4 linked regions of the Lonchura striata genome follow. The protein of the gene in region 4 interacts with the protein of the main gene of each other region in a pairwise test. Links are inferred from orthologs where the notes say so. Each region holds a gene or a part of one and is shown on either strand. Other genes may lie near its edges.

Region 1 (7,945 bases), on a different chromosome or scaffold from region 4:
GGCATCAGGAACCTCAAAGTGACCCTGATGCATATGCATGTTGTACCACTCCTCAAAGAGAAGACACTCCACAGAAAGCCTGGCAGAAGTTCGGAGTCTTTGGGGAGTGAGAGACTGATGCTACCAAGGTTAGTAACTAATTGGTCTTAAAACAGCCACTTTTGTTCTGGACCACTGAGAGCATTATGAGCAAGGACACTAACTCCAGGTGTCAGGCCCCTCTAGAAAGTCCTAAAAGGAGCAGGAACACAGAGCACCCACACAGCTACTGAAGCATCCTACCAGCAAAGGATCACCTAGCAGCTTGCTTCCCCAGCATACTGCTGCTGCCTGAAACTGCACTTCTGAGGGCACTGCTTATCACACAACCCAAAGCCTAATTTAATTCCTTGGCTTACCAATCCTGGTTTTCCAGCCACTGTGCCAGGTACTGCCTGATCTCCATAGGAAAGCTGTCATCATACAGCTGGTGAACTTGCTCCAAAAACTTGGAATCCAGCTGCTGTAGTTGATACCACTGAGACATTCTGAGGAAGCTGTGAAAAAAAAGTCAGTGTTTAAGTAGTATTCAGACTGAACTGGTGAAAAATAACTAATTTTAAGTTTTAATGAACATTGACAAAATTGGAGGATGTGCTGATTTTGGCTGGGATAAAGTTTATCTTGTTCACAGTAGGTAGCATGGGGCTGTTTTGGATTTGTGCAGGAAGCAGTGCTGGTAAGACAGGGATGTTTTTGTTACAGCTGAGCAGGGCTTACACAGCATCAAGGCCCTTTCTGCTCCTCACCCCACCCCACCTGTGAGGAGGCTGGGGGTGCACAAGGAGCTGGGAGGGGACACAGCTGGACAGCTGACCCCAGCTGACCCAAGGGACATTCCAGACCAGGTGGCATCGAGCTCATAGAGCTGGGGGAAGGAGAAGGAGGCACAGGGGATATGTTACATGATGGTGCTTGTCTCCCCAAGCCACTGTTAGGCATGATGGAGCCTGGCTTTCCTGAGATGGCTGAACTCCTCCCTTTGGCTTTCCTGTGTACATGGCTTTTGCCTTTACCTGTTAAACTATCTTTATCTCAGCCCATGAAGTGCCTCACCTTTCTGATTCTCTCCCCATCCCACCATGCAGGGAGGAGGGGAAGTGAGTAGCTGTGTGGTGCTTCCTTTTTTTTCCTTTTCCTCTGAACCCATTTTCATGGCGTTTATGGTACTGCTAGTGTTACTGCTCTCTTGTTTAGCACATATGGGAATGAGGACCTCTGTGTTTGATACCTGTACTCTGCATAATTGAGATCCTGATCACGGAGTATCACCTTTTGCTTGTGCAGATGCATTCCCCAGCACCAAAAGTGTGAGTGTACAATTAAAGAGCCCTCTAAGTGCCCATTTTCAGTTGCTATTCGTGTCCACACTTGCCTGCTCTGAAAATGGACTACATCTCAAGTTACCTTAAATGGAGAAGTACTGGAAAGATATTTTTTTCGGCATTTGAGTTCTCATGATAATATTTTCAGGCTAAATTCAAGCAACCTGTGCAGCAGATAGAGGGTGCTTAAATGAACTAAGACTGTGCAGAACGGCTTCTCTCAGTCCTAACACTTTTGTGAGAGTGGCTTCAGCTCTGACGTATGGTCTCTAGAGGCAGATCACTTAGCCTTCTAAGCTGCAGGTTATCAGCTTGTAGTGGAAATGGCATGTAAAGATATGCCAAGGAACAGCCCAGGCTGAGAATATGGGTGATGAGATGCAAATCCACTCACATCTTTGTTTTTTAATGACTGCTTATAAGACCCATCCAAAAGAACAGGCAGCATCAGGATGAAGGACTGTCTTCTATGCCCCTTCCTACCAAATCCTTTTGTTTTTATATGCCAGTGCCCTCAGCTGCTGAGTGGCATGTGCTAGGTGTGAGAAGCAAAGGAATTAAAAATGCTATGTTTAAAGTGAGGGCTTTGAGGCTTTTGATTTGTGTGCTTTTCAGATTACAGCTAACACAGCATTTGAGTGTGCTATAGCAGTCCCAAAGAGGGAGGTCCATGACCTCCCTGGGCAACCTGCTCCAGTGCTCTGCCACCCTCAGTGTAAAGTTCTTCCTCATGTCGTGGTGGAACTTGTGTTCATGTCCACTGCTCCTCATCCTGTCAGTGGGCACCAATGAAAAGAGTTTGTCACCATCTTCTTGGCACCTGCCTTTGAGTTATTTATATGTAATGATGAGATCCCCTCTCAGTCTCTCTACTCCAGACTAAACTGTTCCAGCTCCAGCTCCCCTTGTAAGAGAGTGCTCCACATCCCTCATCATCTGTGTGACCTCTGCTGGACCCTCTCCAGTCGCTCCTCGTGTTTTTTGTACCGAGGAGCCCAGACCTGGGCACAGCACTCCAGATGTGCCTCACTAGGGCAGAGCAGAGGCGGCTGATCACCCCTCTCGACCTGCTGGCCGCCCGATGCAGCCCAGGACTCCCTCCTGGCCCTCCTCTACCTCCTCGCCTGCCATGGCCGGGGGCCGGCCCGGTGCCCGCGTTCCCCGGGAGGGAGCAGCGCACCTGTTCCGCGGCGGCTGCCCCGCGGCGCCGGAGGAGCGGGATCACCGGGATCAGCGGGATCAGCGCCGTGCTGGGCACACGGGCCCGCTTCCAGCGCTCCGGGCAGCTCTGCAGACGCGTCGGAGAGGGTGAGCTGCGGAGAGCGAGCAAAGAGCCAGGCTTGAGAGCGGATGCGACAGACGACAGAGCAGCCGGAGCGTCCCTGTCAGGAATGAAGACGGCTAGCAGACACCTCTCTTTCCCCAGGGCAAGTACACCAAAGCGCAAAACTCGGTGGGCGTCCCGCGGGCAGGGGCAGTCTGAGGAAGCGACAAGCTTTCGTTTCACCGGGCATTCCCCCCGCCATCCCCCGGCCCCTCACGCCCGGGTCCCTCACGCCCGCTCCCCTCACCTCGGCTCCGGCTCGGCGCTGCCGCGGCGCCGGCTGCGCTCAGGGAGCCGCGCGCGCATGCGCGGGGGCGGGCCGGGGGCGTTCCCGGGCGGCGGGCACGTCACGTGACTTCTGGGAAAGGCGGCGAAGGCGAAAGCGAAACTAGTGCGGGGCCCTGAGGGCGGCGGGGCGGGGCGGCTGCTGCTGCTGCTGCTGCCCTCACAGAGCCGCCGCTTCCTGCCCGCCCCAGCTGCCCTCACGGAGCCGCCGCTTCCCGCCCGCCCCAGCTGCCCTCAGGGAGCCGCCGCTTCCCTCCCGCCCTGCCCGCCCCAGCGCCGACAAACTGCAGGAGGCTGAGCGCTGTTCCCATCCCACCCCAAGCCCTGCTCGCAGGAATAGTGTCCATTCATGTCGTTGTCTGTTGGTCCAGCGTAGCCTTTTTGGGTTTTTTCTGGTGTTGGAAGCCGGCAAAGAGCGGATGCTGAAGGCCAGGCTTTGCTGCAGCTCTCCAGGGTAGTCTGTGCCCCTTCCCTCCTCAGATGGAGGAGCCAGGTGTTATTACTTCATGACAAAAATAGTAGATCTGTTTGGTAAGCTTCGTGGTGTGAAATACTAGGCAGCAGTAGATCTATAAAAATGGCTATGAATAAAAGCAATGGAAGAAAGTAACTGACAGGTTTCATGTTTTTTAATTAGGATCATTACAGCGTCACACCAAGACAAAGCCTAAAACAATTACATTTTTACTTTGTTGCCGCAAAACACAGCAAAAGGACAGTTAGTAGAACTACTTAAAAGCAAATTTTTTTTTTTTGGTGGTAGTATCTAGGCATCCCTTTTTTGTGATTTTCCTCCACACCATCGTTTCACTGGAGAGCTGTATTCTTACTCATCATGGCATAAGGACAAAATTCTCACTTTTTTAAAAGGAAGGAGGCTTGGTCTGTATGTATTCATCCTACAGATAAATTATTCCAGTGTTCCTTTAAAGCAGTGAAATGATCTCAAGGCGGATCTTTTCAACAAAATGTTAAGTTGACCCTATGCAGCAATCTGATCTGAAGCAATAGCAGGAGCTGTCATGCCAAAATCTGATCCATGATGCTGTTCAGAAACACCAGTTATGTTGGGCTGAAGTTAATACTTGAGAGTTTTGGAGGGTTGCCTTGCATAGAGAACAGGAAAGAAAGAAAAAGGAGACTGGTTTGCACGCCATGTCTGATCTTGTCTTACAGTGCTTCTCATGAACTTCAGATGGTCAAAACTAAAAGGTATCCCCCGTTTTGTTTGTATTAAGATTATGGGAAGAGGTTAGAATGAAAAGGCACGCAACAGCTGATGTTAGGGGAGGTCATGTTTCCTGCTTTAGAATTATGTGTTACTGTCTGTAGCTCAGTTTAAGGTCAACCAAAAGGCAGCAAGACTGTTTTTGCTGTGCCTTGAAAAAAAATCCGCAGAGGTCCGGATGCAACTTGAAGCCAAAATCTGATTTTGTTCATGCTGGTTATATAAGTTACAGATACTACCAAGCTATATACAGAATTGCTCTTGTGTTTTATTTTATACGTGATGCTTACTGAACTTACGTGCAGCTTGCTTTGAATCACTCAGTGTAATGAACAGAGATGCGTTTGTTTCTTTGAAATCTACTTCTGTGCATCACAAAAATACCTCATTACTTTGTTTCCGCTCACTCACTCTCAACTAAAGTAAATAGCATGGATGAAAGAAGAAATGAAAGTAAATCTATGTCTTACCGATTCAAGGAGTTTTCATCACAGAAGTCTCATTTATACCTGCTTGAGAAAGCAGCAAGGTGCAATTGTTCAAGTTTTGTGTTTTAAGAACTTTGCATGCATTACTCATGTGTTCTTCAGGCAAGGCTTGCATCCTGATTGTACATGGATTTGTGAAATACAGTGGCCTTGGAGTTGCCAGTTTGTTATTCTATGAACAGCGATTTTAGGGGTAACTCTGGGGGAAATAAAACTAAAACAACAAAACCAAACAACCCAAACTGAGCAGTAAACACACCTGAAAGAAAAAAACGGAGTATTTAAAGAGGGCAATTTACTATTTTTACAGAAACTAGTTGTCCTGCTTATTAAGTGAGGCTGTGACGGGCCTGTAATATCCTGTCACGGAGCACAAATTTCCAGGTGGTCAGCAAATGCTGCAGCTCTTCAGTAACTGTTTTTTAAAACTGCTTCCCTGTTGCCATTGACTGATTAGCATCCAAACTGTGTCAGATCAGGATCTTCTATTTGTAGACTTTCTAACAATTTTTGCTGGAGTATCTCCTGCCCAAACAGATTTGCTTTTGCAACTATTTTGTGAGAGGGGAAGTTTTACTTACTCTCTTTTCCAGTGGAGAAATGGAGACAGCATTTCTAACACCACAAGTTTTATATCTGCTTCCTTTCTGGAACTCCCTTCTCTCCCCAGCCTTCCCTACCTGCTTTCCACAACTTCTGCTGTGGTATCAGATAAAAATCTATCTTGAAGGCAATTCATCTTTGAAGTAAAGCAAACCCCAGATACCTCTGGAACATTCAAAGTCAGGGAACAAAAATCTTTACTTTGAAATAGTATCTAAATCAGTGGTGTATAAGATTATGCATAAGCAGAAAGTATTTAATATAATAGATCCTAATTTCTCCAAACACATTAATGTCTTTAGTTATCTTTATATACTGTCTTCAGAAGCAAAACATTTTGTTCTTATGCATTCGTATTTACAGCAATTCTATGGAAATTAGTTAAATTAGCAAGTAAAAGTTATCTCTGCTGGGACCCCACTGAAGTCAAATGACTCCCAAGCCAGAAAGGATTTGGTCTTTTTTCAATGACAACACCAAATGTGACTTGCAAAAGGCTGTTTGTATTCCCTAGGGAGAAAATTCATTGTTTATGTGTTATTGATAATAGAAAGAGGCCTAAGAATAACATCATGGTTTCCAGAAAAGCTGACTTTCAGAGGTGACAGGATTATGACTTCTTTAACCCATCCAATGTTCCCACAATTACTGATTTTTCTAGTATGTGCGCTTCAGTCAGTTGAGTAAGGAGAACTCAGCTAGAAGAAAAGAAGGACAGAATTAGTCTCATGGCACTCACAGCTATTCATTCAAAAGAAACTGCAAATGAAACTTTCTCTGGCTCTAGGTAACTGCAAAGTCACTTTGACAATGTCATAAAAACTGATAAGGATCTGAAATCCTGATTCTAGTTGTTTAGAAAATAGAAGAATGCTCTTTAGAAGATACTGTGTAGAAAACTATTGCAATAATAATAAGCATGGTATTTATTTTTGTATAAACTTTTGTGGTTCTTGAAGCCTGTGGATATGTATGTCAGGGTTCTTCCTGGAGTCTTGTTTTTTTTGGATGGGTAATGGAAGCTGGACAGGGTGGAGGGAATAGAAGGGAATTCAGCAAGGCTGCAGAAAGTATATCTTGCTAAGACTGAGTCAATTGCAGGATATTTTGTCCTGCTGCAGATTTAACTCTTGTTTTCTGTATCTCACACAATGCTTTTTTATTGGCATTTCACGAAGAAAAAGTATTGCATTAATAGTGCAGATTGTCTTCTTGCTATACTAAGCCAGCTCTTCAGCAGGGTAGATTGTTTTGTGAATTTGATAAAGAAAAAACCTCCATATTTCCTTCATTTCCATTTAGCAAGGTCAATTGAATTGAAAAGGAAAGAATTCTTTAAAAATCTTCTAAAACTATTTTTTCTCATGCAACTTCTAGCAGAACTTGAAAACATTTCTAGTAAGAGCCTACAGAAATACCACTTGCCATCTAGCAGCGTTGAACCATTCATCTTGGTACCTTTAAAATTGTATTTAACACTTTCAGTTTGCAACTAGGCACATTCATTTTGTCAGGTTATGACCCTGAATGATGGCCATCGTCACAGCTTATTTTGAAGCTCTGAATGGAGCTAATCTGAGATTTACTGTGCATGCAAGAAGAAACCAAAAATGTTTGGAGGTTGATGTTAACTGAAAGTGAATCCATTTATTCTTTACTCTGACGAAAATTCAGGAAAGCAAATGTGTGCATTGTTCCTAAGTGCACTTGAGGAGGCCAGAACCATTTCCACATGTTATAAACCAAAACAGAAATAAGAGAGTACATCTCTTGGATTGGGTGGGGTAGGTTTTAATTCAGAATTTTAATTCAGGCTGGTTATTTCATTTTCAGCTAAAGAGCTAGTTTATCACAAGTGCTATCATAGAAATAAGTGAAGAATAAAAAAGATATCTTGCTCTTGAGTGGATTTTCAGGTTAATGTATTACCTCATCTATTTGTATATAAAGTTTAACTGTTCTTCTAATCACAAACAGGATTCTGGTTTAGTTTTGTTCTGTTTGTGGGTAAGGAGAAGTGTTTACAGAGAGGCATTTGAAGGGAAGTTGGCAAGCTTTTAAATATATAATCACTTCAAGGTAATATAAGGATGGTGGGCTAGTATTAAAAAAGGAAATTTTATTCTAAACCTGCTAGAGTCAAACCACTGCTGTGTTTCCTGAGAAAAGTCTGTACAAATTCCCACCTGGCTATATATCATTGCTCTAAGGACTCTGAGCCATGATGATTCAGAACGTCATTTCGAGTGAGTAAGGAAAAGAGGGATTTTTTTAAAAAACATGATGTTATTTTCCTAACCTTTCTATATACTAAGCTAATACTAGTTTTCTTTGCTGAAAGTGTTTTAGCTGACTTTTAATTTTGCACTTTGAAACCCCACGTAAAACCTTGCAGTGTGAAAAAGTTGTGCAAGTTTGCTGAATTGGAAATTATACTATTCCTTGGGCAGCTCCCCTGAGCACGTCCAGGCCTTTGTGCTGTCCAGAGAATTAGTATACGTGGCATGTATTTGCCAATGTAAAGCCTTAATTTGTGCAAGAACTCTGGGATCTTTGTGTTCTGACATTCATGATTCATTGGCCAGCGTGTCAGGCAATTCCAGTGCTTTCAAGATGCTTGCAGCGTCGTGTACCGTTTCTAATAGAAAATATG
Region 2 (7,340 bases), on a different chromosome or scaffold from region 4:
TCTCACAGTCACACTTGTGCTCTCACTGAACCTTTAGAGAAAGGAAATCACTGGAGTCTTCAAAGGCAGCTGTGTGAAGGTCTCAGGACTAAGTCATTCTTCATGTTTGGGGTTACTGCACTACACACGATGCCTGTCCCAAGGAGCAGGTCTTTCACCTGACAGTACTGCTCCTGGGTTGCTGAGCTTTGAAATCCAGTTGCCCTCCTGAAGGGTTCAGGTCTTCAGCAGCCAAGAGCTCTCTGCTTTCTGAGAAAATAAGACTTCACAGCATGCAAAATGTATCATCATGCCCTCTAGGCCTGCCTTGGGAAAGGAAGATCTGCAAAGCAATGAATGGGCTGCCACCCAGATGGCGTCTGGGAGAGCACTAAAGTATATGGTCAAGACCTTGACAATAGTGATAGAGATGTAGCTCAAGAAAAGGTTTACTCTGCACATGGGAATGATCTTTTTTGGGGGTTTGGTGGTTTTTTTTGTTGGATTTTTTTCATCTAGCTCTCTTCTGCTCAATACTTTTTATGGCTCTTTGCAGAAAGATGAATTACACCACAAAAAAAATAAACCCACTCATGGGCTGCAACAGCTTTTGCTAAATGGAGTTCCAGTGCATTGGCAGGGGCATAACAGCTTGCTAAGCTGAGAAAGGAACACTCTGCCAGAAGGTTTAGCCTTTATTTGCTGAAGTTGCACTTGTGTTATTTTCTGTTCCAGAGAATATGAGAGTCTCTCTTGGAAAATGCTTCACTGGCCTGAATGACAGTTCCAGTAGGTTTCATTTAAGAACAGTCTCTGCCAAATTAACAGCCCAAATACCACATAGAGACACCCTCCCCGTGCTTTAAGGTAAACACAGAGAAGAAAAACAGTTTGGTTCTGTTCTTCAGGTCTCTTTTTCTTTCCCCTGCCCCAGACCCAGTGTGCAACCTTGTATTTCTCCCATCTCATTGCAGGATTTATTTCTGCCACCCTCTCTCTGGCACAAGGAGGCAGGAGGGCAGCTGTGAATAGCAGAAAAAATTTGCCCTGCCTGTGTATGTAGGGAAGTCCACATCCTGGAAGAAGGATGTAAGTGAAGAGTGGGACCAGATGCTACATGTCTTACAGCTCTGCAGAGAGCAGTCTGCAGCAGCTCACACTGTTAGAGAAGTTGTTGGGAGTAGAAAAGGGAAAATCCAGCCAATGCAAAGGACATTTACATCAGGGGGAACATAGATATTAGATTTGGACATGGTCCCCCCAGCCAATATTTGCTTTTGCATTCTCTCTGGGTCTGCTCTGAGGCTGGTGGCAAATCTGTCTGTGACTGCAGCCAAAGCAAGACTGGAGGTCTGACAGCATCCAGTGCCGAGCCGTGTCTTCCTGCCAAAGCTCCCACCAGGCTGCTGACCACCTCAGCTCACACCAGTGCCAGCTGTGCCTAATACCAGAGGTCACCCTGAGCACAGAGGAACGTGGCCACCATGGCAAAATGCAGCTGCCAAAAGTGAGACACAAACCACTGCAAGACAAGGAACACAACCCCATTTGCCCCGGATGTCTTAACTTCTGTGGGGCTGCTCCTGAGAGAAACAGCAGCTCAAAGATCATCCCTGCCTCAGCCACCTCTGTTTAGTCCACAAATTTCCTGCCTGGCATGCTGCCTCCGTGAGAACTTCATTTCTTGGATCACCTGCTCATATCACAACTACCGTAAAGATTTAGGTAAACAGGCAGTAAAAACAAACTGCATTTATTTTAAGGGTTTTTTTTCTGATTTGTTAGGTTTGTGGTTGGTTGTTTGTTTGGCTTGTTTTTTCCCTTTTTTTTTTTTTTTTTTTTTTTTTTATCTGTGTGAAATAATTAGAAATGTGTGGTGGAAAAAGATTCTGAAAATGAAATATTGTCCTGTAGTGTTACAAGGAAATCAAGAAGGATAGAGACAGCTACTTCAAAAAACATGCATGTTTTGCTGTTAATTAACTTTCTCAAAAAATAGTTTTATGCAGAAGGCTACCCCTGGAAATAGAAAGATGTTTTATATTGGCAGTTTCAAAAGTTTTTTTCACAAATCTGAGAGTTACTAATATTTAACAAGATAAGTGAAATTAAAAAAAAATGCTAATCTTTTCCTCCTAAGTGCACTGTTGAACTGCAGAAAATTCAAATTACTATATATTTTACATCTGCATCAGCTGTAACACAGACGACCAGTAAACTATGGGGATATTTTTAAATATGTGAGGATTGGAATTTAAAATTTATTCCTTACACTTTTACCTGTTGACACTGTCAGTGAATTTTCACACAGTCTAGTGAATAATTAGGACATGATTAATTGTGCTTTTGCAAGGAATTTGTTTTAAATTTCAAACAGCATTGTAGAATTCACTTAAGTTTTATTTCTAAACTCAGGGATCTGTGACTCTCTGTCTAATTATTTTGCACCAGTGCAATAACTCTGATTTGCAGCAGTAAGAAAATATAGGAATAGTTAAGAAAAGTGATTATAAAATCACTTTTGTTTCCTCCACATCTCACCACCAACATTTCTCTCAAAAGCAGTGAAAGCAATCAATATTTTCTTCTGGTAAGGTCTGATTCACTGAGTCTCTGTGGGGACTAGAAATTTGGAAAGCTCAGGTACAAACTGCCTCTTCACTTGATGAAGTGCAGCTCCCTCTAAGTGGCTGTTTGTCAGATGAGATGCCTTATTCTTAATTTTTTTATGATAAGAACCAGAGGTGCCACAATAAGAAATGAAAATCCAGAGAACTGGTGAAAGGCCACTGCTGAAATCCCTTCCTTTTAGAATATACCCAGCTTTGAGGGGAAATTTTGGCTTTCCTAAGGAAGTTGCAAGATAAGCCCAAAAGAGGGGAGTACAGCTGTAAAGAGAGGAGGCCACTGTCACTTACTTTTCTGGTACTTGTGCCTCTGGGAACCTGGTCAGGGGGCGAACAGGCAGCAAAATCAGGCGCTTCCTGTGATTCTCTCCCGAATGCTTTTCCAGCGCCTGGCCACGGAGCTTGCTCCTGCTGGAATCAGCCTAGAGCTGGTCCGGCTGCCTCATTTATAGAGAAGCAGTTCCTTTGTCTGGCGCGTGTCACCACTAGTCCTGGCAATCCAGGGAGCATGTTTTGCATCTCCCAGGAGATCCTCTCTCTGTCTTGCCTTTTCTCTGCTCACCACATGCCCCCTGCCTTTTTCTGGGGCTGGGGTGGTAGCTGGAGCCATCCTTACCAGCTTTAGTCACTTATCTCAGTGACTCTGGCTAGAATTTTGCAGGAAAGGATGGAACCAGCATTAGCAATAGTCTAATTCTCCCCTCTTTTTCCGCTGCTGTTTGGGAAGTAGGGTTTTTGGGGTTTTTTGTGTTTTTTTGTGGTTTTTGTTTGCTTGGTTGGTTGGTTGGTTTTTGTTGTTTGTTTGGGTTTTGGGTTGTTTGTTTTGTTTTGTTTTTATTTTGTCTTGGTTTGGTTTGGTTTGGTTTGTTTAATTTTACTTATTTATCCAGCTCTGGCATTGTCAGTGTTTCCAGAAATGGAGATGGCTCTTTCAAAAGCCCCCCTTAGCATCGCTCGGAACTGAGGAACAGACTGGGGGTATTTATTGCACTCCCAAGCAGGAGGAAGGTCCTGCTCTGCTCTGACAGAATGTGAGGTGTATCTGGGGGGTGAACATATGCAGGCAACTGGATCCTGCCCTTCCTTTTTTAGTGGAAGATCCCTCTCACTTGGAGTCACAGCTGGCACCTCCTGCAGCCAGAGGACCGTGACAGCTGCTGCTGTCCCAGTGCTGCCCCAAGCCCTGGTGCCACTCTGCCTCACTCTGTGTGAGAGCAGGAGCTGTGTGAATTCACACCTTTTCCAGCCTGCCCTTCATTCCAGGGCCCAGGCAGTGCACTGAAGGTTTAACTCATGCTTTCACAGCAAAGATGAGTCAGCTCCATACCCTTGTGGCTATGATGTAGGGTCAGTGAAACACAGACTCCTTTCTCCTGGGGTGTCCCCAGAGCTTCCTCTCTGAGCCAGGACAACAGGCAACAAGGTGACATCTGAGTGCAAAACCCAAAACCTGCAGAATAACCCCATTCTAATCATGTGTCTGTGTCCATGACAGGGTCTGGTCCATCCATCCTCACCCTTGCCCTGGGTAACCACTCATTTATAGGTCAAACACTGGAACAGGTTGCCCAGAGAGGTGGGGGGTGCCCCACTCCTGGAAACACTCAAGGCCACTTTGGATGGGGCACTGAGCAACCTAATCTAATTGAAGATATTGCTCAGCTCAGGGTGGTTGGACTAGGTGGCCTTTAAATTTTCCTTCCAACCCAAACCAGTCTTTGTTTCTATGAAAATAGTCATAAAGTTGACCCTGGCACAGACCGTCTAGCCTTACTACAGTCATACAGACCCTTTGGGACCTGTCCAGTCCTTTCTGCTCCTCCATCCACTTTTCAATTAAGTGCTAGGAGTTTGCTTTGGATGAACATTTGGATGAGCAAATGGGGAGAACAAGAGCAAGGTGCCTGCTTATTCCCTGGAGCAGCAGGAAATATCCTGGGGAGAACAAATGGGGGGGAAGAAGAAGTCCCAGCTCATCACCCCACTTTCATGGGGCAGGAAAACTTCTGCACCCAGGATAAACACTCCACCACTTCCCTCTGCCAGGTCCCAGGAAAGCTCAGCTATTACCCAGACCAGCTCACCCCAAACAGAAAGATGGCTCAGCAGTGCTCACCTGCTGGGTTTTTATCAGCACTGAGAATGTTTCAGCTAACAGGACAGCCCATAAATATTAATAAGCCAGCAGTGGAATGATGCAGTCGCTCTCTGTAGAGAATGAGCCTCGGGTCCCTGCCAGGGCAGAGCTGTTCCCTGCAGAACTCGAAGGAAGGTTCAGCCCTTTCACACGGTAAATTAACAGTGGCACTACAGCCTGAAAGCTGTGTCAACCGCTTCATTTAGCACAAGTGTTATGTTAACTAAAGGCCCTATTCCGGAGGGGCCCTTGGCCTCACAGAAGCCTAATTTCCATGTAATTTACACTGGAGAGTTGGAGAGTGCCCCTCCTCTCTGTTACTTCCTCCAACCTATTATGTTCCCAAAACCTGCCCTGAGATGCTCCAGCCAGTGGGCAGCAGCAGGGAAAGGGCTTGTGGGTCCAGAAAGGGAAGGGAACTGAAGCCCCTGATCCCTAACTGCTTCGATACTTCACTGCCTGGAGCTTTCTAAACCTGTCCAGACAAAGCACTACAAAATACACAACCAGGAAAGCTTCTTTCCTTGCAGGGACATGGGTAGGATGGACTGCTTTTCATCTCCACTCATGTATTCACACAGGAGAGGGTGCAGACATGACAGAACTTTGTCCTGCACTGCTGGGTTACACCAGAACTCACTGCCAGGCACTGGGCAGGAGGTCCCAGGTGCTGAGCCAGCACTGGGCAGTGCTGATGAGATGGCACAGGGTTGCTGATATTTACACCAGCATCAAGGGTCTTTTTCATGCTGTCAAAATGCTCTGAAGGGGTCATACATCAGGGACTGCTTCACTGTGTCTTTATTAAGTTTCCTATTGAGCTGTGATTACTTGGCACCCATGAACCACACCAGTCTTATTCATCTTCCTCTCTATACTTGTCAGTGACCTGGCAGCAGGGGGAACACATTACAATCCAGACCATGTGGTCTTTTCCACAGACCAGGATAGTATAACTCAGCCAGGAACAAGCACTGTGGAAGCAACATCACACCCTGGATTTGCTCCTCCTCACAAAAATCTCTGCTGGGACACATCCTAACAACTTCCCTGGAGTCTGGGGCAATTCTCTATCTGCAACAAGTCTGGTTTTCAGCAGCCACCCATTACAAGTTCATGAAAATTGAAGGGGATACCAAACAGATTTTGTAAGGTGCGTTATTAGCAGGTCACTTCAGCCACTCACCTCTGCACCACAGGAACTGTTTGACCTGGATGCAGCAGCAGACTGAACACTTGTCTTATGAACTGCATTTCCACGTGTGACTCTGTGAAGGGGGACACTTGAGAGTTGGCCACTTTGAAGAGGTCAAGAACATGTGGGTGGCTGCAAAGTGTGAACATCTCAAAACTTTTTGAACTCTGGCTTGCCAGGATTAAAATTCCAGCCCCTGAAACAAACTAGGGGCGTAACCCTCATTGTTCCTCTTCCTAAAAGGAAGAAAAGCTGTTTCTGGTGTAGGGAACTGTGTGATATGCCAGCAGGAGTAAAAGGTTTTATCCTGCTGCACAACTTCCAGATCCAAGAGAAGCCTCTCCAAGAGAGGCTGGGCAAACAAGTGTTTATGGCTCCCACTGGGCCAGACCTCAAACTCTGTATTTCTCTAGCAAAACTCTGACTTGCAAGTGACTGGGATATGGAAGAGAATCCTGCCTAAATACAAGCAGAGATTTCAAAGGATGGGCCTGGATTTGAGTAATTTTTTCTGTTTTGTGAATTGACCCAGGTGAGCCTGATGAAAGCAGCACACACAGAGTGACAGGCAGGAAAAGGACAGTGAGAGGCTGCAAACCCACAGCTGTGTTATCACTGTGACTTCAGAGCCCTGCTGCACACATTGGAACAATAAGAAACAATTATGCACATCTGGGCTCCTGCCCTTTAAAATCATAATTTAGATTAATAGATTTTGAGTATATTGAGCTGGAGGAGGCTGCTTGAGGCTCAGAATAGCAGCTGCATGAAGACTGCTGAAATATTAAACTTGTATCATCTAAAGCTTTATCGTAGCATTTTGAATCTCTTATTAGTGTTAACAAAACACATCAGGGGGTGCTTTAAATTCTGGCCACACTTTCTGGCTTAATTCCAGAAGCCAAAAATCTCCTCCTTTTTAATGCTGAAACTTGCTGATAGCATTGAAGAAAATGTTTAGCCACAGAATAAAGAGACTGAAAACCTAATGTGCCTCTAAACCTTTTCACTGGGAGCAAGGAGAAAGACAAACAGCTCATTTTCCACTTGACACAGATGCACCTCGACATTCAAAGTTATTGGAAATCACCTAAAATAGAGGAAAACAAGTAAGGCATCTGAAAGGATAAGCAGCTGCTACTTTCAGGAGCACACAATGTGAAGCACAGCCAGGTTGCATGCATCAATAAGGCAACCACATCAGCATCACTCAAAACAGGGATTCAAAGAAATGTGGAGTTGAATTTAAGAAAACCTTTCTGAACAGACTGAAAGCCCCAAAGGGTCTTTGCCATAGGTGCACTTCTACAACAAACTTACAATTAATGACAAAAAGTTGTCAGAAGACCAAAAGCTTTAATTTCCAGTATGACTGCAGGCAAAACCCTCAACCTCCAGCCAT
Region 3 (7,343 bases), on a different chromosome or scaffold from region 4:
TGATCCATCCTTGAAACCACAAATTCTCCCCAAATCAGCAGTGCATTCCCAGGTCAGTGGGAATGGGGAATGGGAGTGTCCTCACCATTTTGACGTGCATGGGTCTGTCAAAGAGCAGCTGCCCATTGAACATCGCTGGGGGTCGTTAAGGATCATTCTTCAAGCACTGAGTGCTCTCACAGGGAGCACAAAAACCCCTCAGAAAATCCATCTCCTCAGTTATTACTCACAGATTATCCCAAATCCTTCTGCCTTCTCCAAAACTAAAATGCCTTGAAATCTAAAAATACTGAACATTAAAAAAAAGGCTTTTTAAAATAAAAAAAAAAAGATAAAAAACATATTTCTGGGTAAGATTAAGTTCAGAAAGAGATACAAACCATAACTCTAAGTCAGCCCAAGTGTTTAAATGCTTCCTCAGTCATTTTATCCATTGAAGACAGGACAAAACAGAGAAAAGCTCCACAGCAACACCATATTCTGAAGTGTGCCATGACAGTGAATCTTCTGCCCAACTCTGCTCCCACAAGGTTTTGTGGATGCAGTGCAGAAGGGAATTAACAAATAGAAACTTTGGGAAAGGAAGAGGGTTTATTTTCCTCCTTTCCATACCATAACCAGGAGTTGAGAGAGTAATACCTGGAATTTTATTGCTGTTGGGTTTCTAGGTGGCAAATCATTGCTTGGCCAGTGGAAGGAAACAGGAACAGGAAAATACCAATTCCGTGTGCCTTGGCACAGGGACTTTTTCCTTTTCAGAGAATTGCATTTTAATATTAATTGCAACCTAGAGACAGAAACTCATCTCGGATTGAAGTACATTTATCCACGTAGGAAAGAGAATTTCCTTTGCTAAGGATCCTGAGCAAACTGCAACAATTCCTTCAAGATGGAATTTTGCCTCTGTTTTGCTTTTCCTTCCATTTTCCATCTGCTACAACTTGACCTCCCCTGCCCTGGATACAATATCCTCCTTTGGAATACAGTTCCCACTCTGCCCTGCTGCGTTTCCTGGGCTCTCTGCCCCATTATTCCCAGTTTGCTGCCAAGGATACAGATGGCCTGCACGGCCTCGATGGCCTGCTCGAAGGTGACAGTGCCGATGCCCCGGCTCTTGCCGTCCTTGTCCTCCAGAATGTCGGCCCGGACCACCACCCCAGCCATGCTGAACACCTCCTTCAGCTTCTTCCAGCCCACCTTGTAGTCCAGCTGGAAAACAGGGCATTGTTGGAAATGCATGAGATTTTCATGAGAAAACAGCTTTAGTTGGCTCCTGTCCTCCTCTGGTATTGGCATTAAAGTTGTCAGAGAGCCGAGATAAAATTCAACCAAAATACGAAGTTTTGTTCAAAAATCCCCATTAACAGGCACTGTGGTACAACTTAACTGAGAACCTCCTTTGCACAGAGAATCAACAGGACACAGAGGAGCTTTTCCCGAATTCCCAAGGCTTTTCCTTCCTGAGATTTGCCCCAGCTGAGAGGTTCCCACTGCTGGATTTGCAGCAGGGGGTGCCCAGCACTCACGTTGGCCACGAAGACGGTGCTGCCGAGGCGGCCGGCCTGCAGGGCGTGGATGATCTCGTTGGGGATATTGGGGTTGTTCAGGATGCTGGGGGGGATGTTGATCATGCCAGGGCCGCCAGGGCCGGGCCCGATGCCCATCCCTCCTGCTGCCATCACCTTCTGCATGGCCCTCCTGGCGTGCTCCCCGTCGGGGTCCTGGGGGACACACACACACCCTCAGATCAGATCCCACATCCACCCACATCCACCACATGCTCCCCGTCGGGGTCCTGGGGGACACACACACACCCTCAGATCAGATCCCACATCCACCACGGGCAGTGCCAGGGCTCCCACAGGCACAGACAGGAGTTTCCCTTTATCCCAGGGCATCTGCTCCCTAAGCACTCCCAGCCAACTGCTTCCCTTTCATTGTCAGTCAATTTATGTTATTTTAGCCAACACCCAGCACACTATCATTTAAATGATACCTTTATTATTGATACCCTTTAATAATAAGTTATTCCTCTCCAGGCATTTCCCTGGTTACCAAGTTGTTTATCCATCATTAATACCAACAACAAACCTCTGTTACACTGTTCCAAACCCTAATAAACCCCCAGTGCCACTGGAGAGGTCTTGGAATGAACTCCCAGGACTGTCTGTCAACAGCAAGGCCACTAAAATGGAAATACATCTTTGATGGATTCCAGGAAAGAGCTGATTCTATGGAATTGTTGGCGGAATCCATTCATTCTGATGCAGAATTCAAAGGGAAGTTTGTAAAGAACAAACAGAGGTTTCTGTGTCAAATCATTAACAAAGGAACTGCAATTAAAGCCAAACTCCTGCTTTGTCCTCACATCAAGTTTAGTCTTGATAATCACAAGTCCAGCAGTGGTTAAAACTATCAGAAAAAGGTTGACTGGGTTTTTTTATCCTATTTAAGTCCTGCTTTCTGCCCATTATCCTCTGAGTCAGCCCTAAACCTTAAACAGGAACTCCTGCTTCCCCCTCTATCCCTGCCAGAACAGATCCCCTCCTTACTTCTTTTACTTTCAGGGGTCTCCCACCAAGACTGTGCTTGTTCAGAACTTCAGCAGCCTTTTTCATGCTCTCCTCCATCTTGAACTCAACCACCCTGTGGGGACACAAACACAGCTCAGGACGTTTTGTTTGAAGAAGTCTCCTCAGATTCCTGATGAAATCAGATTGAACTTGAAAAATTCAGAGTGAACTTACGCGCATCCCTGGTGAGATGATTTCCCAGGGCAGTCACATGGAGGAGGGAAGAGGGGAAAAAAGAAAGTCAGTGATAGCTCAAATCACACACAGATATTTTATTATTAAAGCCAAATCACATCAGTTAAGCCCTAGCAGCAAAAATAAATGTAACCTTACACAGGCAAGCCTCCAATAGTGGAATTCCATAATTTCTTATGCCTTAACAGGATTAACCTGGGGTCTCTGAGGTTGTAACAAACACTAAATCCCGACTCTCCAAGAAATACCACACGCTTCCTGTGACCTGCTCTTCCCTGGCATACAGCAAAACCCTCCACACTCTCACCCTAAATCCATATCCTTCAGGACACTTAGGAGTGCTCCTATTGTCTTCCCTGATCCTGGACTCAAGGCCCATGAAGGCACTGAACATTTACATTTAGGAATTTATCTCGCTCTGCTGGCCCAGGACGTGGAGTTTGCAGCACCTGCTGTTGCACCCTGGCCCTTCCAAACTCAGCCAACCACTCGAGTGACTTTTCCAAAGCACAGGAATATTCCAGAGCCCTGTCCTGCCTGCTGGGCTCCAGGGTCACACGGCCAACGCCAACGGCACGCAGGGAACAGCTCCTGATTGCAGAGCCCACCCCACCTCCTCCCATCCCACAGCACTCCTGACCTAGAGCCACTGCACATCCACACTCTGAGCCTCCCTGGCCTTCTGTCCAGCACACAGAAACATTTCAGGTAGAAAATCCACAAAGAAACTCTCAAACACTTACCCTTGACTTTCCTTCAGCGTCCATTAAGAGCTCCACGTATGTTACCTCACCAACTACAAATCAGATTCCAGACGACACAGATACCAAGGGAGAAAAGCCAAGAAAACAATGGGAATTTAGAACAATCAACAACCGTGTATGGAGCCTCTGCCTTATAAGAAAGCCCAGAAACACTCCATGTTCTCTAGACCACAAAACTGGACAATTACAGGTATGCAGTAAAGGCTTCAAGCACTTCGATATGTTCTTGGTTTTCCTCCACCTCAAAGCCAGAGATTTCCACAGTTCCCTGGATCTCCAGTGCCCACTCGTTACCTGAGGCAATCCAAACCCATGGGAAAGGCTGCAGGAACAAGTTTCCTTCAGTTGCCACAGGATGCAGCCCTGGCTCCATAATCCACAATTTCAAGTAACTTTTTTTTCTCAGGATTTAAGACAAAAAAGGAATCACACTGAACCAACAGATCAAGAGATCACTGCCTGCTATTTATTTTAACATGTTTTTGTTAAGTTACAATAAATTCTATTTTAGCATTAAAATCTGCTACATTTGCTCTCAAGTCAAAATTGTCAACAGCAAAAGGCAAAAGACAATGGAAAACTCCACCTGCCCCTTTCCTCACAGGATTGGGACTGCCTCTCTAGGACCAAATAACCCTGGCAGGGACTTCCAGAAAACCACTACCCAAATGGCTGCTGCCTTTGAAGGGACTGGCATACAGAAGAATGGAATCAACACCTTTTTTTTTCCCTTTTTATTTTTCCTTTTTGGTTTTACAAGTCCTAGGGTTTAAATTTAAACTAGGAGGACACCAAGCTGCATTATCTGGACAGTGGAATGTTTTATTTGTGGGAAACCATGAGCCAGTTGAGTATGAATAGTTTAACTGGAGCAAGGAAGTGGGGCTTCATAATATTCTGCCAGGGACAGAGGGAGGTGTCCAGCCTGACCTCCCCCAGGCCCAGCAATTTACAGGACACTGGGTATCACTGTGGAAAACTGACACCCTGGAGCTCTCTTGAAGCTGGAAAAAAAAAAGGAATGCTTAACAAAACCACTGATTTGTAATCTCCATTTCTTATTTTAAACAATACTTTAGCAGTAAGAGTATTCCAGCCAGAGAACAGGATGAACAGCTCTGATCCACTCCTGCTTTTGGAAGGATAATGTTTGAGGCTGGAAAAGGCTGCCAAGTCCCTCTGAAAGGGACTCCACTGGAGTGTCCATTATCATCCACAGCTCCAGCAGCTCCATCCATGTTGGTATCAAGCCTAACAAGGAATTCCAGCCTGTAATCCCTTTGAGCTCCTGCAGCACACATGGGATTGTTCCCAAGGAGTCCCGGGGGGGATTCAGCGCTGCCATGAGGTTCTGACGCCATCCAGCTCAAACAGCAGCAGCCAGAGTCCAAGCACACCTGGGGCAGGGATGCAAACAGATTCACCAGTTCTTCCCAGGTGAGCTCCACTCCAAAACCTCTCCGAGCCAAAGCTTCCAGGTCTGGCATTCCCTGAAGCTGCAGAGCCCCCGGAGCGAGGGCTCTCCTCTCCCAGCCACTTCACCTACAGCTCCTCACAAACAGCTCCCAAAGGAGCTTGCCAAGCTTGAGGATATCCAGTACAATTGAGCATCTGCTCTTGTAACCAATCCCCGACTCTGAACCACAAGATCTCCAGGAATCTCTTGGGAAGTTGAGTCTGTGCCAATTTTGCTCAGAGCTTTCTGCTGGAGCCTTACAGACACATGAAAATCCAAATATCCAGCCTGAAGTAGCTGCTATGCTTTAAAGGAGATCTGAACTTCCTGAAGAGCCCGGTTTCAGAACAGCAGGAGAGGGGAATGACACACTCAGTGCAACAGCTCTGAGCCAAGACAGAGCCCAGAAACACTGCCATGAAAATGCATTCATTTCACCTTAAACTGTGTAAAAGGAGCCAACCCAACCCTTCTGCCAGGAGAACATCGTCTGTGACTGGCAAAGGAAATATTTTTTTAAGAAGCTAGGCTGGATCACATTTTATTTGGAGTTTTGGAGTTTTTTTCTAGATCCCAAACCACAGGATGCCATGGAAAAGTACCAGGAGCAGATATCCATGTGCTAGACCAGGATAAATGCCCAGTGATCCTGGCAAGATTCCCTTCTGCCAGAGAACAGCTGGATTCTGTCAGGGAACATCCCATGGCCACAAGTGGAGAAACTTCATCCAAGCACAAAAACTGTTACTTCAGGAGTTTCCTAAGGGAGGAAATGTCCAAAAAACACTGGCTCCTAGTCACTGCAGGTTTAATTAATCAACACATTCCCCATGGTGTCTTTAAGACTTAATGTAGAGGAAACTGATTTATGGATTTATTGAAACCTCACACCTAAAGTTTGAAAATGCAGCTTTTCCCAAACCAAGAGACTGGAGCAGAATTTACTGCAATAACCAGAAATCCAAACTGAAGGAAGCTTCAGTGTTATTTATAACAGTCATTATTTTTAATCCTCTTTAAAACTTTGTATCACTTCCCAAAGTTTATCAGTACAGAAAATGTCAATGTTCAAGCTGGGCTGCTCCAGCAGAATTCCAATACTCTGCAGGGTCTGAACAGGAAGCTCAGATCAGTATTCACAGGGTGACCTGAGGCCCTGAAGACACATCTGGGAACTCCCCAGAACAAGCTCAGACAGAAATAACAACTTTAGGTTGGGCAATTTGATTTTAACAGTTTGTGACAAACCAAAGAGCTCTGAGAGGTGTGAAAGATGCAGAGAGGGAAGGGGGAGCAAGCACAGAACTGGGACAAGGGAAATGCTCTGTAGCAGTTATTCCTTGGCCTCCAGGGCCAAAAGTAAATACTAAATATGGAAGGAAAACCCCAAAGTGGCTGGATGTCTCCTCATCTTCTGAAGAACAAGTGATCCAAGAAGATTAAAAAGCTTCACACTCGCAGTGTGAGGCAAAGCAGAGCTGGCCACAGTTCTTCCCTCATTTACAGGTAAAAGCTTGGGACAGGCAACCCCTGAAAAGTTAAGAGGGGAGAGAAGAGGAGCAAGTTTTACACATGCAAAGCTTTGGCTGAAAAGGCAGAAGGAAAACCTTCCCAAAGCAGAGACAGCAGTCAGCAGTTCTGTCACAGATGGGGAAAGGAAACTTCCCTTTTGCAAGAGAACACCCAAAGTGGTGATTTAGGCTCTTAAAGAGCTCAGGCAGCAGAGGGAGTGAAAAGCTCCCTGCAGCCAGGGAAGGGCTGAGATTCCTTGGAAAGATGGTGAATGCCCAAGGGAAACAGAGCAACTCATCAGAGACTTCAGCAAACGGAAGGGGGAACAGGCCAAGGGCAGGACAGCACATTCCTTCCCCATCCCTCCCTCCCTGACTCCCCAGAACTCCACACTGTGACCAAATCCTGGGGACTCTGCAGTGAGCTAACACCTTGTGTCTGCCAGCAAAACGAGGGAGTTCCAAACAAGAACATCTCTTCATTCCATTACCAACATTCCCACTGCATACCTGTAATTGAGTTTCTCCAACCAATCCACTGGGATGCCCGAGCCACGGCGTGAGGAGAGAGAGAGAGGTGGCACCTGGAGCAGCCTGGCCGCTCCCAGGCTGCAGAACAGCAGCAGCTGCTGCACACACGGCACCTCCCCGAGCTCCTGCTGCTGCTACAGCCCCTTCTGCACGGGGCCCAGCCCTGCAGAGCCCTCACACACCCAGGGTTTCCCCTTGGGCAAGAATTCCACCTGCTCCCAGAGCCTGGGACGTTTGGCCTGGCGTTCTTACGCTTCCGAAGCAAGCATTCCAACGGGTCGGAGTTTTCCTGGGGCTTGGAACTGCTCTGCCT
Region 4 (7,282 bases):
ACTTCTCAGAACAGCACGAAATTAATAAACACAACAGCTGATTCTGTTGCCCAACTGGTTTAAGTCTCGCTGCTGATTTTAATAAAGCCAGCATTTTACCTCATGTTGCTGCAGGACTTCTTTTTTCCCTTAGCCAAGGACATGAATCCCCTGGGATGGGTCTGTGCCAACATACTTCAATTATCTGGGATTTACACATCCATGAGTGAAAGAAGACACAAATCTTTATTGTGATATTAGCACTGACTCTTTATGCACCTTATTTTGTTCCTTTTTCTAAAAAGCTTGGAGATCTAGGATAATTCTGGTTAAAGAAGTGAGAATTTTCTTCAAAGCCACTTTCTTAAAGACTTCTGTGTCTTTTGGGGTAATTTCACAACAGCAAAAAAAATTAAAAGAACAGTGCCTGAACTCAGTTTTGTATTGTTTTGGGCTTCACCCAAATGCCAGAAAAGTAAATTTAAAAAATCTACTGGATCCATCCCTTAAGCATTTGCTTAATTTCAAACCTTTAGCTAGTAGAGTGGACCCCAAATTTTTTCATATTATTGGATTAGTGCTCCAGCACAGAGTCCCTGAGCAATTTGCTTCTGTCATTTGTCTGTCCTCCTGTGGGCTGCTGGGGGCAGAGGAGACCTACACTGATGAAGAAGCTCTGCTCCCTGTTTCCAGCAGGCAACAGGAAAAAAATTGTATTACTCCTGCTTATTTACTGGATCAGCAGTTTTCTGGGCAAAAATTACTTTCTTCAGCAGGGAGAAACGACCTCTGGTCAAAAACTTCTCGGCTGAGAAAGTGATCCTGGAGTTTTATTTAGGCAAGCTGAGCTCTGAGATATTATCTGGTTCTATTCTGTCTGGTTTCTCCCTTCTAAGTTTAAACTGCTGTGCCCTGCAAGCTATGTCGTAACACCTCTCTCCTGCCAGCTCACCATCCTGTGAGTTTTCATTAAAATCATGGGGAACTCATTATTAGGCCCTATTTTTTCCCAAATTTATTCTTTTGGGCCACATACTCCCTTTCCTAACACGTGGGCTCCATGCTGAGAACTTCTGAGAGCTTTCCAGTAGAAGGAAGCACACATCATTATCCTTCATTTTCTGTTATCTGAAACTTTGAAGTGTACCCCAAAATGTTTCATCTGAGGGGTGTTTGGGAATCTCAAGCCAGGTTTCACTGAGAGCCCTAAGCTCAGGAACAGCCCAACGGATGTTTATGCAGAACAGCATTCCTGGTTAACTCATTAGGCTTTTGATGTCCATGGATTTCTAAGCCAGCACTTAAGCCACCAGAACACAAGGCAGGTAAATAAATAAGGATTAAAAAAAAAACTTTGTAGATGAAAGCTGGACATCATTAGGAGCTGAGATTAGAGTTTCTTAAAAAACAGCATAAAAGAAAATGTAACATGTAAAACATCATGGAATGAAGTGATGTAATCCCCAAAAGCAGCGGTTCCCATGTGCTCGTTCCGGGCTCCAAGCAATGGCATTTTTAGTATCTGACAGGAAACAAACCACGTATGACTCAATTTACTGAGAGCGATGTTTTAAGCGTTATCTAGAAACGGAGATTTTATAATTTATTTCTTTTTTCTTCTCTCTTACCGCGATCCCGGACAAGCCTCAGTGCAGTAAATTAGCACGTTCAGGGCTGAAGTGGCCCTGGGTCTGTGCCGAGTTACCATCCCTGGGTGTGCAGCAGGGACGGGACAGCGGGAGCACCCCCCGGGAGAAAGCCTGGATCTGGACACGGAAGCCGGTCCCTTCCCTGAGTGGGAAGCCCAGAGAGGGAAATTCTCATCTCCTACATCCCGTCCATCAAGTCTGTCTACATGCTCTTAGCATGCACCCAGCCCCCACCAAAGCTTTCTACGAGCTTTTGGAAGTTGCATTACGAAAACGTGGAAGTTGGGCACCCGCAGCTAACAGCCCTGACCTTTCACTGATCGTCTGCAGCGACTCGGGCAGATCGGGGATGGGGCAGAGAGGGCCCCTCGGGATGGAAAACCTGAAAGCTTGGGAAGCGGGACGCTCCCTCTCTCGCCGAGCATCCCCACCACTCCGCGGTGGGATGAGGGAGTGGGAGATGCCCTGCCCGGGGGGAATTGCGCCTCTCTTCTCCCGGCTGCTCTTCCCTCAACTTGGGAGGCTCTCCGCAAGCTTCCCCACGCCGTCAGCCCTGCGGGGCCGGGGCAGCCCGGTGTCCTGTGCAGGGGAAGGGGGTCGGAGCTGCGGGGGCTGCCGCCGAAGCCCTCCGGGGCTGCCAGGCGCACAATGCCGGCGGCGGCTCCGTCGGGGAGGACGGGTGGCACCGGGAGGCGAGCGGGGACGATGGCGAGCGGGGGACCGGGCAGAAGAAGCGCGCACTTACTCGGAAGGATCGAGGCTTTTCCTCTCGATGGCCGATGACATTGGCAGGGCCGGTTCCTTTGTGGCGTGCCGGTGGTGGGCTCTGCCCCCGCCGCCCCCGCAGAGGCTGTCTGCTCGCGGAGCCTTGTCGCCAGCCGCGCTGCCCCGCCGCCCCGCGATGACATTCACAGGATTTCCTCCTGCAGCACCGAGACAGAGAGAGACACACAGGGGCTGGGGCTGCGCTCCGGCCCCGCACAGCCCCCCCCACCCCGGCCCCGCACGTCCCACCCCGGCGCTGACCTCCCATCCCCGCCGCGCTCCCCCCGCGCCCCGGCCGGCGGGGCCGCTCCCGCGGCGGGCGGGGGGCGGCGGCCGCGGCCGCCACCGCGGCTCCGCGCCCGGCGCTCAGCGGCTCCGCGCGGGCAGCTCCGCACACGCTCCGCGCCCGGGCGGCAGCGCTGCGAGCGGCGGCAGCCGCATCCCCTGGATTATTATTACTCCGTGGCTCAGCCCCGGCTCTCTGGTTTCATTTCCTTTTTCCTGATCACGATTCAAATACAATAGAAGGAAATCACACTTAAAGAGACAGCTGCCCGTTTCTTAACTGCACTCCTGGGGATTCGGCAATACAAACAGCAGCATCACGACTCGCTGGGTTCCTTAAAGAGACAGAGCGGGGCTCCCCAGAGTCAGGGCTGGGGGCTGCCGGGGCGTTCTCACGTTATTATTATTCCCTTACTAACGCTGTCTCTGTGCGCAGGCAGGTGGGCGACCTGAGAATGATCCCAAGAGCTGGAATAAAATAAGCGCCTGGTTCCGGATTGTGCCGCCTTCTCAGCTGCACCCAGGAGCGGCACTCGCCATCCCTCTCCTCGTCCTCTCCCTCTCTGACACGAACATGCACATGCCCACACGCACCCATGGGTTCGCGGGGCTCTTGGAGAGCCACAGGTAAAGATCCCGAACATGATTTGTCCACCCAGAGTTCAAACTGGTCAGCTCAGTTGTGTCTCATTTACAGACCGAGTGAACATTTGCTTCCAGACACCCCCGGATTCTTGGCAAGCTCTGTAACAAATTTACACCCGGGCACCGTGTGATGCTAATGAGCTATGAAAGCCGGCGAATACCAAGTATCGATCTGTAATTAATCCAAGACACGCCAAAGATGGGGAAAGTCTTGCCTGGATATTTCTATTTTTCCTCCCACCCTTGCTCCTCTCCATCAGCACAGCACATCCCGGAAAGGACTGATTTACAGCGCCGGAGTGAAAACTATTGCAGCAATCCGAGCCTTTGCCAGGCTCTGTGGCATTAGACGATGGCCCTTGCTGGAGGCAGAGTTCTGGATGGGATGAACAGCTTGCCCTGTTAATTCCTTTTAAAAAAGTAAAGAAATATCTGTAATAAAGCCCCGGAGAGTAGTGGTAGCAGCAATATTTCGCTTCTATATTAATTCCCACAAGAAAAATGTATTTTATGTCTATTTTTATGACTACATTCTCCTTTTTTTTCCCCGCTTTTTGGCAGCTGGGGATATAATATCTGCAATACATTAATGAGCCTGATCCAAATATTAGTAATGTCAGCAGAAAGACTGTTATTCTTTCAAGGGACTTTGAACCCAGCTCTTGAAATACTTTAGAGCTATCACTGCTTACTAGAACATATCTTTCTTATTCTTTAAACGCATTATCTCCAATGCATTTCAAGCTATTACAACAGGACAGTCAGTCTCATTTCTGTTGTAGGAAAAGGCTCTTTTGTTAGGTTTTCACAGACAGGACTAAATTATATGATGACTATTTAATTTCTTGCATGTTTACCCTGTGATCAGCAAAGTAAAATAAATGTAAATCTTGCCAGAAGACTGAATAGATAAACTATTGTAAGACTTCATGAGAAAAAAAAAATTCTGCCAGAAACTTCACTTGGCTATAAAAAGAACCAAAAATTTAATTAAAGGCAACTCAAAACCATGCAGGACATCAAACATGTTTAAAAAAACCCCAAGACATTTCTATGAGCTTGGCTTCTCCAGTGTCTAAAGTTTTAATAAAATATAAACTCTTAAAACATAGAATGCAAAATTTCCCTGATGATTGGGGTACTCATATTCTGATAAACTGCTCGTGGAATAATGTGAGCAATTCCATAATGCCAGTAAATGTTCTGAGCTCAGAAGTTGTGCACGCACTGCAGACGTGCTGGCCTGCTGCCCCTCTTCTATTTATTTTCCCAAAATTCACAGGAAATTAATTTATTTAAGACCTCTATGCCTTTGTGTATCTAAAAGAGTTCAAAAGTTTTGGTGAGGGACAAAAGCATCAACATTGGCACATAAGGAATTACTTAATTCCCTAGAAAAACAACATCAAAATGAGGATTTACAATACATGGTGGCCAGCGATTATTGAGAAAAAATAATTTTTAAGGTTTCACAATTCCTTGCTTTGCTCAGACCACCTCAGGTCTGCCAGATAATGAGATATTTCTCATATTCATAGTTGAGCATGTGCACTGATGGACAGACCAGGAACATTCTCTGCATTGCCAGATCAGTCCCTTCACTGCAGAAAAGCTTTTCTGCATAAAAACAGTGGAATAATGTGCAATATTGAAGCTGAAGAGGACAATTTGTATGTGTTTGACTTTTTCAGTCAGATCAAGAACAAACTTTCCCAGATGAAGTCAGATCTTTAAGCACAGAACTCGTGATAGTGCTGGGATCACTCCATAGGCCTGCAAGTACCATCTGTCTCCTCATCTAAAGTAATTGTAATTAAAACTGAGATTATTTCTTGTTTTTTCTCGATCCTGTGAAAGAGAGATGCCAAGCAAAGTCATACGCAAAGGAAAGTGAAGAAAAAGCTGGATTTGCAGCAAAAAGCTCAGCAAGAAGGTCCTCAGAATGCTGACCAAGAACTGCGTCTTCAAATACATCTGAGGAACAAAGCCATACACCTCTTTGGGAAAATTCCATTTTCATTTATTTGGTTTACATATAATAAGCTCTTGCTCTGGACAGTGACATTTGGCCTTTCCAGCTGAGGACTTTTTGTCCCAGCAGAACAGATGACCAGCAATCAAGAAGGACTTCTTTTTCTTCACTTTGAGCAAGTCCCTTAATACCATTTTGCCTCAATTTTCCCATCTGCAAATGTTTACTTTCCTCAGCAGAATTGGCTGTTGATTTACTTTTGCCTCCTGCTGAATAACGTTCCCAAAGACAAAGCGTTATTCAGTGCTGGAATTGGTGGTGCCGACATTTCCTGCCCAGGCACAAAAAGACCAGCACTATTTTTAGTGAGGGCTTTTCTTTCCATTGTTTCTTTCTTTGTGAAGCTGCATTTTCCAGTGCTCTTTAGTGTGGCTTTTTGTGTGTGCATGTGTGTTCATTGATTGGAAGTCCCGAGGGATGAGTTTTGGTTTCAATTAACTTTTATTAATAAAGATCACGCTATAGACTAATTATTGGAGCATGGCTGGGGTCAAATCTGCTGTTAGAGACTACATTTAGCATTTGGGGCTTGGAAAAATGTGCCATGAGTAAGTCAGCTGGACTTTTCTGGATGTTTCTCAATAAGAATGTAATGTAAAGCTGCGTCATTTCTGTGAGTGGTGTAATCTAAAGGAATAGTTCAATGTGTCTGTTTCCAAAGAAACATCCTCTCTTGCACTCAGGGAGTATTTTCAGCTTGGTTTTGGAAGGCCAAAATATCATCACCACTCATCCTCAGGTTGTTCCTACCTTTATTCCTTTGGTATATCCCAGCTTTATCCCCCTCTATAGCTTATGGATACTATTGAGCTATTTCAGGTCACCCTCATTTAGAAAAGTCTGTATTCAGTAAGATTAACTTTGCTGCCCTCAATAGCCAGTAATGCTGGTTGCCTAAAAATGCAGTTTATGAAGATTGAAGTCTCTGCATAGATGGAAGAATTAAATCTTGGTGATGGTGGCCTAGATTTTCTGTTAATGCTTCTGTGGAAGGGAAAAGTCAAGACCATGACTAAAGGTGAACAATTAACAGGAAAGGTGGCATAAAGGAATCAGGATTTCTGTAATTTGGGCTGTCTGCTGCTGCTGAGCCACAATTTGGTGATAGAATCACTGCTCCACTCCAATCCACCTATTTGCAAGACTCCTCCTCTTTCCCACCACACACTGGACTGAAGCCTTGACCTGCCAGCCCCTGAGATGAGGCTCTGAAGTAATGGAATTTTGGGTTGGTTTGGGTTTTTTGAGCCTAAATTTGACACCACAGAAGGAGAACCTTGATCTCTCTTAAAGAACACAGAATATTTGGGGAGGAATTTGGAGGCTGGAACTGGGGGATCTCTAAGGTCCCTTCCAAGCCAAACTGTTCTGTGATTCCATGATTCTGTATAAACCAGCTGCTGCCAATGAGGTGGGATTGTGCCACTGGAGAACCAATGCTATCAATATATGATGAGTATAATGAGTATCAATAGTTACTCATTTCACCACAATGTCATATTAATGGCATGAAGGGCACCACATAATTCAAAGACAAAAAAAAAAAAATTATTCCCTTTTCATGAATCTGGAAATTTTGTTTCAGCCAGTAAGTTCTGTTCTAGTCGGTGTGCTCTCCACAAGTGCTGTTTTGATTTTGTTGTTTTTTTTTTTTATATAAATCCCTCCTCATCATTCTTCTAATTAACACATTTTCTAACCTCCCTGAGGACAGAGGTGGATAGAGAGGATAAGGAGCTGTCACTGAGTGATGACCACATGACTGACTTGATTATACTTTGGAGGCTTTTGGTGAAGTGTGACTCAGAGAACTTACAGACTTCTGACCAAGGACACACTTCTCTTTTTGGGGCTCAACCCTTCCTTTGAACTGGAAGAAAACAAACCAGAACAATAAAAACCACACTCAGGGTGAGGTTTGCCCTGG

Evidence for each region.
Region 1: the proteins of LMO2 (region 4) and STAT1 interact in a two-hybrid assay, tested with the Homo sapiens proteins (2 studies listed by BioGRID and IntAct). The two-hybrid records come from large-scale screens. The link is inferred for Lonchura striata from reciprocal best matches to the Homo sapiens genes LMO2 and STAT1.
Region 2: the proteins of LMO2 (region 4) and TAL2 interact in a two-hybrid assay, tested with the Homo sapiens proteins (2 studies listed by BioGRID and IntAct). The link is inferred for Lonchura striata from reciprocal best matches to the Homo sapiens genes LMO2 and TAL2.
Region 3: the proteins of LMO2 (region 4) and heterogeneous nuclear ribonucleoprotein M interact in binary tests that used the Homo sapiens proteins (3 or more experiments, as listed by UniProt). The link is inferred for Lonchura striata from reciprocal best matches to the Homo sapiens genes LMO2 and HNRNPM.

The regions. Positions count from the first base shown.
Region 1 is NC_134610.1:30,434,750-30,442,694, reverse strand, and holds the start of STAT1 (signal transducer and activator of transcription 1-alpha/beta), read right to left. Parts: upstream 3,019-7,945; 5' UTR 2,936-3,018; intron 2,747-2,935; 5' UTR 2,545-2,746; intron 537-2,544; 5' UTR 527-536; coding exon 399-526; intron 1-398. Other genes in the region: STAT4 (signal transducer and activator of transcription 4), read right to left, coding at 5,964-5,990. UniProt on the Homo sapiens protein: Signal transducer and transcription activator that mediates cellular responses to interferons (IFNs), cytokine KITLG/SCF and other cytokines and other growth factors.
Region 2 is NC_134642.1:81,251,846-81,259,185, reverse strand, and holds the start of TAL2 (T-cell acute lymphocytic leukemia protein 2), read right to left. Parts: upstream 3,010-7,340; 5' UTR 2,898-3,009; intron 1-2,897.
Region 3 is NC_134630.1:6,569,062-6,576,404, reverse strand, and holds the start of heterogeneous nuclear ribonucleoprotein M, read right to left. Parts: upstream 3,001-7,343; 5' UTR 2,748-3,000; intron 2,647-2,747; 5' UTR 2,631-2,646; coding exon 2,553-2,630; intron 1,722-2,552; coding exon 1,527-1,721; intron 1,210-1,526; coding exon 1,056-1,209; intron 136-1,055; coding exon 86-135; intron 1-85. Other genes in the region: heterogeneous nuclear ribonucleoprotein M-like, read right to left, coding at 3,500-3,564. UniProt on the Homo sapiens protein: Pre-mRNA binding protein in vivo, binds avidly to poly(G) and poly(U) RNA homopolymers in vitro. Involved in splicing.
Region 4 is NC_134608.1:54,470,797-54,478,078, reverse strand, and holds the start of LMO2 (rhombotin-2), read right to left. Parts: upstream 3,004-7,282; 5' UTR 2,997-3,003; coding exon 2,960-2,996; intron 2,721-2,959; exon of another isoform or gene 2,662-2,720; coding exon of another isoform or gene 2,655-2,661; intron 2,552-2,654; coding exon 2,374-2,551; intron 1-2,373. UniProt on the Homo sapiens protein: Acts with TAL1/SCL to regulate red blood cell development. Also acts with LDB1 to maintain erythroid precursors in an immature state.